Linked DNA regions of Canis lupus familiaris. The protein of the gene in region 1 binds, or shares a complex with, the protein of each later gene. Links are inferred from orthologs where the notes say so. Each region holds a gene or a part of one and is shown in the gene's direction. Other genes may lie near its edges.

Region 1 (7,888 bases):
GGAGCAAGATCTTCTCCCTGTCTCAAAGGAGAACCTTATAGATCTGGTGGTGGACACAGGCACTTCAGGAGAAACCATCCAACCACAGAAAGAGGGAGCCCAGACCCCCACAGAAAGGAAGAGAGAACCACATGTGGACAGGACCAAGAACTGTGGAGACAACCATGGTGGTAAGTGCTGGCCTTCTTCCTTGACCCCGAAAAGAAAGAACGCTTATAGAATATCTTAGTCCACTTGGGGTACTGTAACAGAATACCATAGGCTGGGTGGTTTATAAACAATAGAAATTCTTTCTCATAGTTGTGAAGGCTTAGAAGTCTAAGATCAAAGTTCTGGTATGGGGCAGCCCCAGTGGCACAGCAGTTTAGCGCCCCCTGCAGCCCGGGGTGTGATCCTGCTGGAGACCTGGGATCGAGTCCCACGTCGGGCTCCCTGCATGGAGCCTGCTTCTCCCTCTGCCTGTGTCTCTGCCTCTCTCTCTCTCTCAGTCTGTGTCTCTATGAATAAATAAAATCTTAAAAAAAAACAACAAAGTTCTGGTATGATTGTGTTCTGATGAAGACCTACTTCCTTGTTCATAGGCAGCTGTTGTCTCACTGTGTCCTCATATGGTAGAAGGGCACAAGCTAATTGTGGGGTCTCTTTTATAAGGGTACCAATCCCATTCAGTGGGTTCTACCCTCATGACCTAATCATCTCCCAAAGACCTTACCTCCTAATAAAATCACATTGGGGATTAGGTTTCAACATATGAATTTTGGGTGGGATACAAACATTCAGTCCATTGTAGAGGGCTTGGGGTTGGGGAGAAAATGGTAGAGAAAGAGTAAGGAGTTAAGCATGAGATATGACTTATCTATCTTATATTGCTCCCCCATCAGATTCTGAAGACCTGGACCTACAGGCTACCCAGTGCTTTGTGGAGAGAGAGAATCAGAGCCCAGAAGGTGAGGGCATCTGTGTTGTATGGATGTTGGTGCAAGTGGGAGCTGGGAGCCCAGACTGGTGGTCCTTGAAGGTTGTGAAAGCTGGTGTAGGTGGGGCAGGAGGCCAAGAATGGGTCCCCAGAGTTCTGTGGAAGAGCTAGGCGTGAGCCAGCTTTTCTTCTGCAGCAGTCCAGAGCATGGAGGATGAAGCCACTCAGGCCTTCCTGGCTACTCTACCCCAAGAGTCTGGCCCTTCCTATTACAGCTTCCAGGCCTCAGGTATAAGAAACTCTATCCTTCATGCTCCTAACTTGGCATCATTGCTTTTTCTCTTTACATGTTTCTTTCATATTCTTTGACTTTTTACTGACGTTTCTCCATCTCCATCATTTTTAAAGAGGCTGCTATGAGAACTTCTGTATGCATCTTATTTTTTTGGTCCTCTTCCCAACTTTCCTTTAATGACCAGCTTATGATTATGATTATTAGGTTTATTATTCATGAATTTTTTATTTTAAAAATTTTATTGCTTTATTTGAGGGAGAGAAAGAGAGCACACCTGCACGATTTGGGGAAGGGGTGGAGGGAGAGGGAGAAACAGACTCCCTGCTGAGCAGGGAGCCCCACGTGGGGCTCAATCCCAGGACCCAAGATCATGACCTGAGCCGAAGGCAGGCACTTAACCTACTGAACCACCCAGGCATCCCTATTATTCATGAATTTATCTTAATCTTTTCTCATCCTATTTATTACTTTCCCAATCTGCATCTCTCTCTCTCTGTGTGTGTGTCTCTCTGTCTCTATCTCTCTGTCTCTCTGTCTCTCTCTGTCTCTCTCTCCCTGACTCTACTTCCAGGTGCCCTGGATGAGCCGTGGGAAGTCTTGGCAACACAGCCATTCTGTCCAAGAGAGTCTGAGGCCTCTGAGCCCCAGCCCATTGCTGCCCACATTGATGCCCATGGATCTTGCCCCTCTACACCTAGGACAGCACCACAAGCCCAACATCCAGAGAGCCCAGTTCATGCAGAGCCACTGGGGATTCAAGGCAGAGGGATGCAGACTGTGGAGAAAGACATGGGTACACCAAGAGAAGCACCAGAGGAGGTGGCCCCTGAGAGAGGCCCATTGGACAGGGAAACCAAGAAGCTGCCAGCAGGAGAGAGAGAAGATGTGTTAGGAGAAGAGTTAACTAGAGGGATACGGGTGTTAGCTAGAGATAATCAGGGACAAGAGTCTGACCAAAAGGTGAAAAGTGCAAGTACTGAAAGGAACATGGAGAGTTTAAACATAGAAATTGAGATACCCAGGGAGGCACAAGAGAAAGAGACAGAAAAGCAGTCTATTGCAAGAGAAATATTTGAAAGAGAAGCAGAGAAACCAGTAGTAGAGAGAGAGGGTGAGCCAAGTGGATTAGGCATGAAGGTACCAGAAGTAAAACTGGAGAGAGGCCCACAGAGAGGGGAGATAGAGAAAGGGAGCCAAGACCAGGAAGGGCAGGCCTCCAGTCTAACACCAGAGCCTAGTGCAGGGATGGGGGCCCAGCAGGGACTTGCTTCAGTCCCAGAAGCTTCTGGGAGCCAGTCAGGTGGAGCCCCGATGAGCCCCAGCAGGCAGGAGAGAGGTAAGTGAAGGCAGAGGGGAACCTAAGGTGGTACACAGCACTTGTGCTAAACAACCCCTAAGTGGCTGAGTGCTTAGACCCCAGCTACATACACTTTTTTTCACTTTCTGTCTAGGCCACCTGACTTGCAAGGCGCCACCTGCTGAGAAGGCCTCTGTGGTGAGAACTGCTTTTTCTACCTCCCTCTATTTCATTGTTGCCCCTTCCCCTGACCTTGCTTTAATCTCTTCCTTTCTCCATCTTCCCAATTGTCTTCCATTGTCACCACTCCTTAGTTGGCTCTGTACCTTTCCCTTCACACCTATCATTTTCTGTATCTGTTTCCCAAGGTCTGTCTCCCTCTGCCTGACTTAGAATGTCCTTTTTTTTTTTTTTTCATGTCTTTCCCATCTTTTTCCAGCCATCCTTTTATTACCATCATCCATCTCTGGGGAACACTATACTGGCATGAGGATAGGTCTGTGGGAATGAGGACTGCTTCCTCCCTAGGAAGTTCCAAGTCTCATGAAGGGAGGTCACAGACAAGTGAAGTGCCAGGAACACACTCTAACAATAAACAAGTATCAAGAATAGTATCCAAGTACTGTCTCTCTTCTCTCTGCCTCTTCCTCCCTCACTTACTTCTATTTCTCCTCAGGGTGATCAGGAATCCGCAGATGCTCATCTGCCTGCTGCAGTGCCTGAAGCTTCAACCCCACACCACAACCCCCTCCTCTCTCAGAGTCAAAAACATCCTGTGTCTCAGCCCTTCCTTTCTTCCTCTCCATCTTCTTTAGAGCCCATTCCCAGGACCAGGCAAAATGGGAATCAGGAAGTTCCAGGGACTCCTTTATCCTCAGAGATGGAGCCTCTGTACCCAAAATCCAAAGTCAGGCTCCGAGGGTCCTCCAGGAAGACACTCTCTGCAATTTCTTCTTTAGCCCTTGAACCTCACTCAACCATCCCCACAGACCAGCCCCTCTGTCCTGAGCCCACATCTCGGGTCACTCGGGGCAGGACACGTAGGTCCTCTCTGAAGACCCCTGAACTCCTTGTCCCTGAAGTCCAGCCTTCCACCTCCAAAGACCAGTCTGTCACTGCTGAGCCCATATCTCAAGGCAGGACACGTAAATCTGTCAAGGCTCCTGAACCAGTTGTCTCCACAGCCACTCAGAGCAGGGCACTTAGGTCTTCTGTCAAGACTCCCAAAGTAGACATCTCCACAACCCCTGCGCTCCAGCCTTCTACTTCCAAAGACCAGCCTGTCACCCCTGAGCCCACATCTCAGGTCACTTGGGGCAGGACACGTAGGTCCTCTGTCAAGATCCCTGAACCAACTGTCCCCACAGCCCCTGCACTCCAGCCTTCCACCTCTGAAGACCAGTCTGTCATCACTGAGCACACATCTGGGGGCACTCACAGGAGGACACGTAGGTCTTCTGTCAAGACTCCTGAGCCAATTGTCCCAACAGCTCCTGAATTCCAGCCTACTATCCCCAGAGACCAGCCTGTCACCCCTGAGCCCACATCTCAGGTCACTTGGGGCAGGACACGTAGGTCCTCTGTCAAGACCCCTGAACCAACTGTCCCCACAGCTCCTGAACTTCAGCCGTCTACCTCCAAAGACCAGTCTGTCATCACTGAGCCCACATCAGGAGCCACTCACAGCAGGACACACAGGTCTTCTCTCAAGACTCCTAAGCCAACTGTCCCCACAGCCACTGAGCTCCAGCCTACCACCCACAAAGGCCAGCCTGTCACCCCCAAACGTATATCTCAGGGCAGGACACCTAAGTCTTCTAGCAAGACTAACACATCAGTTGTCTCCACAGTCCCTGAGCTCCAGGCTTGTACCCCCACAGACCAGCCTGTCATCCCCAAACTTGCATTTCAGGCCACTCGGGGTAGGACACAAAGGTTCTCTATCGAGACCCCTGAACCAGTTGCCCCCACAGTGCCTGAACCCCAGCCTTCCATCTCCACAGATCAGCCTGTCACTCCTGAGCCCACATCTCGGGCCACTCGGGGCAGGACACATAGGTCCTTTGTCAAGATGCCCCAGCCAATTGAACCCACAGCCCCTGATCTTGAATCTGTCACCCCCACAGATCAACTGTTCTCCCCCAAGGTTCAGGGAAGTCAGGGTAAGATGCTAAGGTCTTCTACAATAAGTGCTGTGCCAGTTCTTACCACTCCTGAATTCCAGCCTTCTGTCCCCACAGACCAGCCTATTCCCCCTGAGCCCATCTCTCAAGCCAATTGCAGCAGGAGGCTGAGGGCCACTAGGAACCATGAGTCCCTTATAGCTCCCATTATCTGTGAGCCCTACTCTGCACTCCCTGAACCTAAATCTCGGTCCTCAAGGAACCAAAGACAAAGAGCAGTGAGAACAGTTGAGTCCCTCAGGACCATTCCCAAGCCGGCCTTTGCCCAGCTTCCTGAAGCCCCCACTCATGCTACCCAGATCTACAAGTTGGAGGCAGCAGGCAGATCGGAGTTCACCCTGGGGCCCCCACCTAAGGCCTCTCAGAGCCACAAGAGGCCTTTGGCTACTGTGGATTCACCCCCACCTCAAAAACGGCACCAAAGAGGAGAAGTCACCCAGGAGACAGTGTTCCTCAAGGAGGAGGAAGAAGATCCAATGGAGAGGCCAAGGGAGGAGGAGGTGAGGACAGGGCCTGACTGAAGCTAGGAAAGGGCTTGGAGGCTCCGAAACTCCTAGCAAGATCTTTCTCAATCCCAGGATGTAGTGGTTCCAGGACCAGGCAAGAGAAAGAGAGACCAAGCAGAGGAGGAGCCCAAGAGAATCCCAAGCCGCAGTCTTAGACGAACCAAACCTAACCAAGAGTCCACAGTCCCCAAAGTAGGAGAGAAGGGGCATGGGGCTTGGTGGGAGGCAGATGTGGGAGGATGGGAGGATACCAACGGGTTTGGAAACAGGCGCTGATGGCATGGGTTGCTGTGTCCAGCTCAGGCTAACTCCCTCCGCAGGTTCTCTTCACAGGAGTGGTGGATGCCCGTGGTGAGCGGGCAGTGCTGGCCCTGGGGGGGAGTCTGGCCAGCTCAGTGGCAGAGGCTTCCCACTTGGTGACTGATCGAGTCCGCCGTACGGTCAAGTTCCTGTGTGCTCTGGGGCGGGGGATTCCCATCCTCTCCTTGGATTGGCTCCACCAGGTGAGAGGCTAGAAGATGACAGAAGAGGTACCATGGCAGAAAACTACTCTTAGGGTGCCCTAGAAAGGGGAAGGAGGGGCCCAGGAAGACAAGGGAGGTGAGTGAAGCAGAAAGCTTAATTCAAAAAACATTTTGTAAGCTCCCTCCAAATGCTAGGTAGAAGAGCTGGGTGGTGAGCTGGGCTGAGCTTTGATGCTGACTGCTACTGTCCTTAGTCCCACAAGGCTGGTTGCTTTTTGCCCCCGGATGAATATGTGGTGACTGATCCTGAGCAGGAGAAGAACTTTGGCTTCAGCCTTCGAGATGCCCTGAGCCGGGCTCGGGAGCAAAGGTTGCTGGAGGTAGGAGGCTGTCTTGTGCCCCATGCTCCAACCCTCCCTCCTGAGGTTCCCCAGCTATTCATAGCCTCTCAGTGCATACATCTGTGGCCTCTACCATTTTCTTTCTCTTAGGGCTATGAGATCCATGTGACTCCAGGAGTCCAGCCACCACCACCTCAGATGGGAGAGATCATCAGCTGCTGTGGAGGCACTGTACTACCCAGCATGCCCCGGTCTTATAAGGTATGGGTGGGAACACAAGTATTGAGGGGATAAGGGAGCCCTGTAGTATGTAAAGGGATAGGAATGAAGGAAAAGTCTGTTGATTCCAAGTGGATTTATTTGTATTGTATTTTAAAAATTTTCAAACATACAGAGAGAACCTTTATTATCAATGAACCTCCATATATCAATCACTCAGAATTAACAAGGTAGTTTAGATTTTGCTACATTTTCTTCATGTATTGTTTTTCTATGCTGAACTAATTTATTTTTTAGTTGTTGTTTTTTTTTTTTTTTAAGATTTATTTATTCATGAGAGACAGAGAGGCAGAGATACAGGTAGAGAGAGAAACAGGCTCCTCCAAGGGAGCCCGATGTGAGACTTGATCTTGGATCCTGCGATCACACCCTGAGCTGCAGGCAGACGCTCAACTGCTGAGCCACTCAGGTGTCCCTTGCTGAACTATTTTAAAGGAAACTGCATACATCATATTATTTCCCCCTATATACTTAAAGTATCCTTTTCTAAGAAATTATGTACTTTTTTTAACGTAATGACAATGCAATTATTGATCCATAACAAAATTAACAATAGCTTCTTAGTCATTTTCTCATACTCCATTAGTCAGATTTCTCCAGTTGGCCAAAAAGTTCTCCTTACAGTTCAAATCAGGATTTAAACAAGGTCTATGTATTGCCACAATTGCATATCTCTTTATTCTCTTTCACTCTAGAAGATCTTCCCCCCACCCAACCCACCCAGGCTTTTTTTTTTTTTTTTTATTCCATTGACTTCCTGCAGAAACTAGGTCAGCTGTTTTTTAGAATGTTCCCGTCTGGGTTTTACTGTTTGCCCCCATGCTGTGTCATTTATCTTGTTCTTTTACATTCCTTATAAACTATAGTTAATTTTAAAAGCTTGAATAGGGATGCCTGAGTGGCTCAGCAGTTTGGCACCTGCCTTCGGCCCAGAGTGTGATCTTGAAGACAGAGGATTGAGTCTCACATCGGGCTCCCTTGCATGGAGCCTGCTTCTCCCTCTGCCTTTGTCTCTGCCTCTCTCTCTGTGTCTCTCATGAATAAATAAATAAAATCTTTAAAATAAAAAAAAATTTTAAATAAAAATAAAAGCTTGAATAAATTCAGGTTTGGCTTTTCTGGCAAGAGTACTTTTGGCAAGTGCTTCATATCAGGGAGTCTATTTCAGTGATGCTGAAACTGATTCGTGGGTTCTGAACCTATTCCTAGAATTCTTTTTCACCCCTGACTTTGTCTTTGCTGTCTTTCCCCAGCCTCAGAGAGTTGTGATTACATGCTCCCAGGACTTCCCTCGATGCTCTATTCCTTTTCGGATTGGGCTGCCCATCCTCTCACCTGAGTTCCTGCTAACAGGAGTGCTAAAGCAGGAAGCCAAGCCAGAGGCGTTCATCTTCTCCACTTTGGAAATGTCATCCTCCTGAAAATGTCACTACAATACTCTTTTCCCTCCCAGACCAGTGAATAAAAGTGTTAGAGTAAGATTTGGAAGAAAGAACCTAGGGCTTTAGAGAGGATTGGGGTAACTTGACCTGACTTATCTTGGAATATTATGGGTAAACAACAGATAGGGAGGTCTGGAGCCACAGATTTCTTAAGTGGTCACTTAG
Region 2 (7,888 bases), on another chromosome or scaffold:
AGTCTAGCCAGTAGAGAGGCATTCTGACAAAAGAGATCACAAAGTACACAGTGGTGTAGTAGAAGATTTACGGGCTGCTTGGGGCTAGAATATACTTTTCATATGAATGGCAATGATAGGAAACTAAGCTGGATCGGTAGGAAGCAAATTGTGAAGTCAATTTCTAATTATTATAGAAATAAGAAACTAAGAAGTTTGGATAGTCTGTGAGGAAGGAACCATTAGGGTTTTTAATGAGAGTGGGAGGGAATGACATGAGCTCTATATTTTTAAAGCTAATTGTAGCAGTTAGAGGAAGAATTGTTAAAATTTATCTTAACACAGTTACATTTTGGCACTTTGATCATGATCACATAGGCTTTTTCTCTTCATGGATACTTAAGGTTTCTTCCTTCTGACCTATCTTAACCAATATTGCTTTGATATCTTAAATCTCTAAGACTCAGCTCAAGTATCAGCTCTTCTGGAACAATCTCCCCTCCCAATTGAGTGCCACTTCTGAATATCTTGATTCTAAATATCAATCCTCAATCCATTCCTGGGCCTGCATTTTTTGGATCTAAAAGAACCTTTTATTTTTAGAAATATTTTTAGTTTCAAAAGTTTCTGAGACCATTTTCTTTAAATGTTATCTAAAAAGCAGGAAAAGGGACATGCAGTCTTAAGTTTGTTAACTAACCAGTTTTCTTCTAAAACCATCCAAATAAGAAAGACATGCTTGATGATAGGACAAAAATGCTAAAAGGATTTTCTCCAAAAGTGTGTGGTAATGAGGAATTCTTAAGACTCAGCTATGCAAAGAATGTCTTTGAAGTGTCATCATCTTTGTAGAGGGTCAGTGTTTTTTTCTAAATATCTACTTCAGTTTTATATTACTTGATAACAAATATATGAATGAACTCAGTTTTAAATGTTTACTTTAAAACCCTGTGACACTCTCCTCTATTCCAGATTTCCTTTTTTCTTTCATTTTTAAATGTTTACTTTAAAACCCCGAGACAGGGCAGCCCAGGTGGTTCAGCGGTATAGTGGCGCCTTCAGCCCAGGGTGTGATCCTGGAGACCCAGGATCCAGTCCCACATCAGGCTCCCTGCATGGAGCCTGCTTCTCCCTCTGCCTGTGTCTCTGCTTCTCTGTGTGTGTGTGTGTCTCTCATGAATAAATAAGTAAAATCTTTAAAAAATAAAATAAAATAAAACCCCAAGACAATCAGTTCTGTCATCTATTTCTTTTTTTCTTCTCAACTTTCATCTTTCAAAATGAAAATTAGTTTATTTGCTAGTGGTACCTCTGAAGATGTTTTAATTTACTGACCCATATATCAAAACTCTTATCTGGGAACCTTGTCTCTCTAAAATAATGGCCAAGAAACAGGAAGAAAATAAAAAGGACATCCAGGTATATAAAATAAAGGCCACATAAGCCATGTACTAAAATTCCTTTTCTTTGCTCCCTGGAGAATCCTTTAAGATCTTACCAAGAACCTTTTGAAATACTATTCTTTGAAGTCTGTTTTTGTTTTTTTTTTTTTCCTCAACCCTAGCAGAATAATAGTGGCTGATTAGAGGAGGGGTATGCTGCTAGAACCAAATATGCCTAATAGCAAGAAATGGGAGTTGACAACTTGACAGAAAACACACAAAAATATCTATAAAGTATGCATAAGGCCTCAAAGCAAAGCTATATAAGCCCATAATGTAAGGATCAGCATTCTTGTACACCTTTATAGCACCTGAAACATCACTGCATTCAGTATAATATAAATGGTATTTATAGTTCAATGTCTTGGAGTCATCATAAAAGATTTACTTGTGTGTTCACTATATTCTGTTGAAGAAGGTAGAGTAATACATGTTAGGCATATTTCCCTCCAAAGGGGTTAAAATTAAAGTTTCCAGCCATCTAGAAATCTCAGCCATGCTAAACTCTGCATTCCCTGAGGGTTTTATATATTCTGGATGGTAAGTTCCCACTTACTTCTATGCTCTAAATGATTATCATGTCAGAACAAGTATGACAGATTAGGTTTCCAGGGTGTAGATGCTCTCAGAGTTAAGTATAAGTTTGAGCTCTAGAAATTTCAGAGGCTTACTGATTTCACCTTTTTGTATCTTTCTTGAATGGATTTTTCCATTGTGTTCCTTCCAGTAGGTTTATAGACATTTCTTTTTTCCTTTAGATTGGTCGGTCGACTGAAAGTCCCATTGATTTTGTAGTAACTGACACAGTTCCTGGAAGCCAAAGTAATTCTGATACACAGTCAGTGCAAAGCACTATATCAAGATTTGCCTGTAGAATCATATGTGAACGGAATCCCCCCTTTACAGCACGGATTTATGCTGCAGGATTTGACTCATCAAAAAACATCTTTCTTGGGGTAAAAAGCTTTTTTCCTAAATGATGCATTATATTATAACCACTTCTGTTTCCAAATTACAAAAAGAAATGGAAGCTCACTATTCTAATTGCTACTAGGAGAAGGCTGCCAAATGGAAGACGTCAGATGGGCAGATGGATGGTTTAACCACTAATGGCGTTCTTGTTATGCATCCACGTAATGGGTTCACAGAAGACTCCAAGCCTGGAATATGGAGAGAAATATCAGTGTGTGGAAATGTATTTAGCCTGCGGGAAACCAGATCAGCTCAGCAGAGAGGAAAAATGGTAAGTATTGAGATGGAGCTTCTTATTTAGCTACAGTAAACACATAGGGTGGGTTGGACTGAATGCGTTATCTATTTCCAAAAACTCTTAAAATCTCTTGCTGACATAGAGTACTTAAGGCTATCAAACACTGACCACTAAATATTAAACTAGAGGATAATATCTTAATGTTTGAATCAAGACACTTTAAAAATTTGTTCTTTCATATTATGTTAATACATTTTAAAACCTAAGCTTTCCTAAATTAAATAGCACTGTGTATTTTCTATTTATATCTCTTTGACCGTGTTGTATATTGGAAATATTAGACTTACTGAGTAGCTAGATGTTTTAGTCATAAACTATCTTCACTGTAAAGTTAAAAAGATATATGTTCCTATTCAGTATTTTATCTTTGATTTTCAAACTTACATTTTTCATGACTGCCATTCTTATATTTAGTAACAATCATAGGAAATCTCAATTCTTGAGTAAGGAGCATGTAAGACCAAAACTCTCATGTAAAAATTGAAAACAAAATGGTGAATGTGTTTTTCGATTCTTATTTCCTTTAGGTGGAAATTGAAACCAATCAGTTACAAGATGGCTCATTAATTGACCTCTGCGGTGCAACATTGCTGTGGCGTACTGCAGAAGGCCTTTCCCACACTCCTACAGTGAAGCATTTAGAAGCTTTAAGACAGGAAATCAATGCAGCACGACCTCAGTGCCCTGTAGGGTTCAACACACTAGCATTTCCTAGTATGAAGAGGAAAGATGTTGTCGATGAAAAACAGCCATGGGTATACCTAAACTGCGGCCATGTGCATGGCTATCATAACTGGGGAAACAAAGAAGAACGTGATGGAAAAGATCGTGAATGTCCCATGTGTAGGTCTATTGGTCCCTATGTCCCTCTGTGGCTTGGATGTGAAGCTGGATTTTATGTGGACGCCGGCCCTCCAACCCATGCATTCAGCCCATGTGGGCATGTGTGTTCAGAAAAGACAACTGCCTATTGGTCCCAGATCCCGCTTCCTCATGGTACTCATACTTTTCATGCAGCCTGCCCCTTTTGTGCACATCAGTTGGCTGGTGAACAAGGCTACATCAGACTTATTTTCCAAGGACCTCTAGACTAACAGACAGTTGTCCTCCAGGACTACATTATAAATTTATAAGCTAAGTGAGTTGGGTTTTCCAACCTGTTGTCCATGTCACAGTTTCTCTGCTCTGGTCATTTGCATTAAGATGAAGAATTTTTTTAAACATTTATAATAAATAGTAACAATTTCTGATCAGAAAATCTGGGAAACTCAAGAAAAAGAATTTCTGAAAGTACCAGACTTATGAATTCTGAGTTTTGAAAATATATTTTGAGGATAAAAAGACATAGTCTAATTTGTTGCCTTCCTTTTAGTGTTTTTGAATCACCCATCCTCAGTGTTGAAAAATTGTTTTATATAACTGAGGGTACTGTTGGTTCAAACTATGTTAGTTTACAGTTTGTTGCAAACATTGTAAAATACAGCAACATGTATATTAACTTTTTTCTATTTATCTTTATTATAGAAAATATCTTAGAATGTTCTTGATAGAGTAGCATGGTAACGATGGTGTCACACTCTTGGTGTGAACGGTAGTTTAGTGAGCATAGCTCAAGGATTTGCAAGCTTAGAAAGGACAAGAGAGCCTCTCTCCCCACCCTCTTCTAAATATGGAATTTGGTAAATTAGAATACTTTGTAAAACCAAATTCATATTAATTATTGTGTAAGAGCTGTTTGTTTTTAACCACATTGAATATAATCAGGAAAGTTTTTTCTTAATGTTTCTCTCAAGTGTAGTATATAACAAAACTTAATGCTAAAAACATTTTATATGCTCCTTTGAATATGCAATTTAATCTAGATTATCTATTTTTCTCCCATGATAACTTAATCTGTTTTTAGTATCAGCAACATTTGGCAAGTTTATTTTTTAGATATAAACTGTGGTTCATCTGTTCACTGTTTCTAGAAAAAAAAAATCATTCTCATGAGAGAAAGCATACATTAACAAGGAAGAGAGTGACTTGATTTGCTTTTATAAAAAGAAATAATTAATTGATTATTCTGCGTGTGGTCTTACCTAGGCATTAAGAAATCTAGAGAGATATAAAGGGTTCAATGACAATAGTGCCCCACCCCCCTTTTTTAAACTAGCAGACCCGCCTTAACTTTGTCGGCTTTGAATCCTAAAGAGAGTTGCCACCGTGTGACTCAAGAGAATGTTTGGTTGGCAGATGAGCACCAGTGACAGCCGAGTAGAACATACTTGCATGGTATGTTTGTTCTCTAATTCCAATAAGTTCTTCACTTAAAGAAGCAAGAAAACGTTTCTTCACTCCCTCCCTGCCCTTTTTTTTTTAATGCACCACAAGGGAAGTATAGACAGTTGCACTACATCAAACCCTTTGTGACACTTGTAGAAATCAGTACACTTTTAGACTAGAGAGAATCTTTTTTTTTTTAATCTTTTGATTTGTTTTCCTTTAGTTCAAAAGTTGTGTTATAATTGCCTCTAGCAAATTTTCGTATGTGGTAGTATAGCTTTAATTTATCGTAACTATTACTATGCTGTTCTGAATTTTCTTTTGGTTTAAAAAAAAAAATCTGTTGCTTAGAAGCCATGAACTATTTTACTTTAATTCAACTTGTCAAAATTTCCTTGTTTTTAAAATGATCATTTGGGTTCACTCAGGAAATGCATGTCAGGAAACCTGTATTATAAGTTTACTAGTTGTGATGTATCAGTAACTGCTGTTACCCCCTTTTCAAAGAAATATAATTGATTTTGAAGTTTTCTAGATAGTCACATGCTTTGTGACTAATGCAAGGAAATCAAGTCCTGTGTTGTACTTGTTCTAGTCATTTCTATTCAGGCTATATATTGTAGCTAATTTTTATTTGCAATTAATTTATTCAAACTAAGTAAATACTTTTCAAAATAGTTACTTGAATTTGTCTCTGTGAGTTCGTTTTTGCATAACTGAGAATGGGAAACCAGAAATGAAAACTTGGGGACAAATCTACCCCCCCACTTCACAAATACTCACTTGAAATAGATGAAGAATTTGTATTTAATGTAACACTTTAAATCTCTGGTTCTCTTGGGAAAGCATCTCTTACTTATTAATAAGGAACTTTGTTCAGTGGTTGAATAATTAAAGCTTTAGTTAAGTCCTACTAGAGATTTGTCTTTTTGCAAGTTGAATACTAGACTCTTTAAACAGTGCTTCGGTGACCATAAAAGGTTCATGTTCTTCCCAAAGTGCCTGAATTCCCTCCTCCCAACTGTGAAAAGTCTGGTTCATTTTCTGTCAAAATTTAAGTTTTGAAAACTCAGGTAATTTAAGTGATGAGGTGTTTTTTTATCCAAGCATTTTGAATATTGGTTCTGTCATTTTGCTAACACCTAATAGAACACTTAGTTACTCAGTGGTATTAAGGGGATATCAGTATTCTGGTCAAGGAGAAAAAGTTCTATTTAGGTCTCCCAAATATACTCAAAAGAAAGATAATATTTACGGCTTAACTCTTTTATCAAAGTGATCTTACTTATCTAAATGTTCCTTAATTTATATTAGGGAATTTTCCTTCATCTAACATGTTAGGGTCATGAAATGAGACAGGGTAAATATCCAGAAGGAGAAATCCTTTTCCAGGCTATCATCTTGAAGCTGTAATTGCTTACTTCCATCATTTTAAAAATATTCTGGTACATGTAAAATAGGATAGGAATATGTAATAATGTAAATAAATATATAATTACATCTAACATGAATACTCCTACTCTACTCTTCCGTCAGGATACTTCAAGAACCATGTGTGATGCATGATCTTCTGACACGTAGACTGAGTGAGTGAGGGCACCAGTGAAAATCCATCGTTTCTTAGAATTATATTTACCTTATAAATTTAAACACTTCGGCCCCTCATCCTAATGGATCATCTTGTGCCATCCCACTTTAGGGACACTGGCTAAAAGATCTATGATCCATTCTTTTGTGTTTATGATCCAAGCATTAACCCTGTAGCATGTAGCAAATGAGATCACCAAAATACTGCTTACTGAACTATATTATTCTGTCTCCCACTTCCACTTTCATAAATATGTATACTTTAAGACCATGCCCTCAAATTTTATCTATGCATTCTTTCAACAGATATTTCAATACCTGCTCTGCACCAAACCACTTTGGGTGATTTAACAGGAAAAAGAATCCCTGCCTTCTTGGGGCTTATGTTTTAGTGGGGAAGATAGAAACGAGTAAGAAAATAAAAGATACAGCATGATGGGTAGTGAACAGTGCTGAAGGGACAAATAAAGGAGATACAAAATGCCATGGGTGATGTGTGTGGAATGTTCGCGATATTAAAGGGGAGAGGGCCAGGGAAAGCTGCACTTAGGAGGAGAACATTTAGGCAAAGGGAATAGCAATTGCAAGAGTCTTAAAGTAAAAGTGTGCTTGGAATATTTCCATAATAGAATGGAAGCGTAGCTATGTAGTGTAAGAGGGAGGAGTAATAGGTATGGCCAAAGAGGTAAAGGGATGAAACTAGACCATGGACTGCCTCCTGAGGCTTGGCTTTTATCCTGAGTGAGATGGGGGTTCTAGGGAGGATTTTGAGTAGGAAAGTGACGTGATCCAACTTAGGTTTTAGTTAATGCAAACAGACTGAAGTGATAATGAGGAGACCAGTTAGTCCATAGCAGTAACTCTGGAAAGAAATGATGGTGGCAGGGATCCCTGGGTGGCGCAGTGGTTTAGCGCCTGCCTTTGGCCCAGGGCGCGATCCTGGAGACCCGGGATCGAATCCCACGTCAGGCTCCCGGTGCATGGAGCCTGCTTCTCCCTCTGCCTGTGTCTCTGCCTCTCTCTCTCTCTCTCTGTGACTATCATAAATAAATAAAAATTTAAAAAAAAAAAAAAAAAAAAAAGAAATGATGGTGGCATAGATCAAAGTGGTGGCAGTGGAGCAGGTTTGAAAAGTGGCCAGAATCTGGGTATATTTGAAGGCAAAGCTGACAATATTTGCTGGCAGATCAGATATAGGGTATGAAAGGAGAGGAATTAGGAATGACTTCGCCCAATTAGCCTGGACAACTGGAAAAATAGAATTGCTGTTTAGAATGGAGATTATGAGAAGAAAAGGGGGGAGGAGGGGCGTACTGCTTGTAGAATCAGGAAAACCTTGGACATC

Evidence for each region.
Region 2: the proteins of MDC1 (region 1) and PELI1 are in contact, whole or in part, in a crystal structure (PDB 9IF9), measured with the Homo sapiens proteins. The link is inferred for Canis lupus familiaris from reciprocal best matches to the Homo sapiens genes MDC1 and PELI1. Residues at the interface, in NP_055456.2 of Homo sapiens: Glu761, Asp762, Ser763, Glu764, Thr765, Gln766, Pro767, Phe768, Asp769; in NP_065702.2 of Homo sapiens: Arg104, Ser105, Thr106, Glu107, Thr115, Asp116, Val130, Gln131, Ser132, Thr133, Ile134, Ser135, Arg136, Phe137, Thr185, Asn186, Thr221, Arg222, Ser223, Ala224, Cys247.

What each region holds. Positions count from the first base shown.
Region 1 is NC_049233.1:635,271-643,158, reverse strand, and holds part of MDC1 (mediator of DNA damage checkpoint protein 1), read left to right. Parts: coding exon 1-170; intron 171-881; coding exon 882-947; intron 948-1,112; coding exon 1,113-1,205; intron 1,206-1,782; coding exon 1,783-2,547; intron 2,548-2,662; coding exon 2,663-2,706; intron 2,707-3,184; coding exon 3,185-5,191; intron 5,192-5,269; coding exon 5,270-5,389; intron 5,390-5,517; coding exon 5,518-5,700; intron 5,701-5,915; coding exon 5,916-6,041; intron 6,042-6,152; coding exon 6,153-6,263; intron 6,264-7,534; coding exon 7,535-7,702; 3' UTR 7,703-7,888. UniProt on the Homo sapiens protein: Histone reader protein required for checkpoint-mediated cell cycle arrest in response to DNA damage within both the S phase and G2/M phases of the cell cycle.
Region 2 is NC_049231.1:65,017,587-65,025,474, reverse strand, and holds the end of PELI1 (E3 ubiquitin-protein ligase pellino homolog 1), read left to right. Parts: intron 1-2,179; coding exon 2,180-2,377; intron 2,378-2,475; coding exon 2,476-2,664; intron 2,665-3,218; coding exon 3,219-3,785; 3' UTR 3,786-5,643; downstream 5,644-7,888. UniProt on the Homo sapiens protein: E3 ubiquitin ligase catalyzing the covalent attachment of ubiquitin moieties onto substrate proteins. Involved in the TLR and IL-1 signaling pathways via interaction with the complex containing IRAK kinases and TRAF6.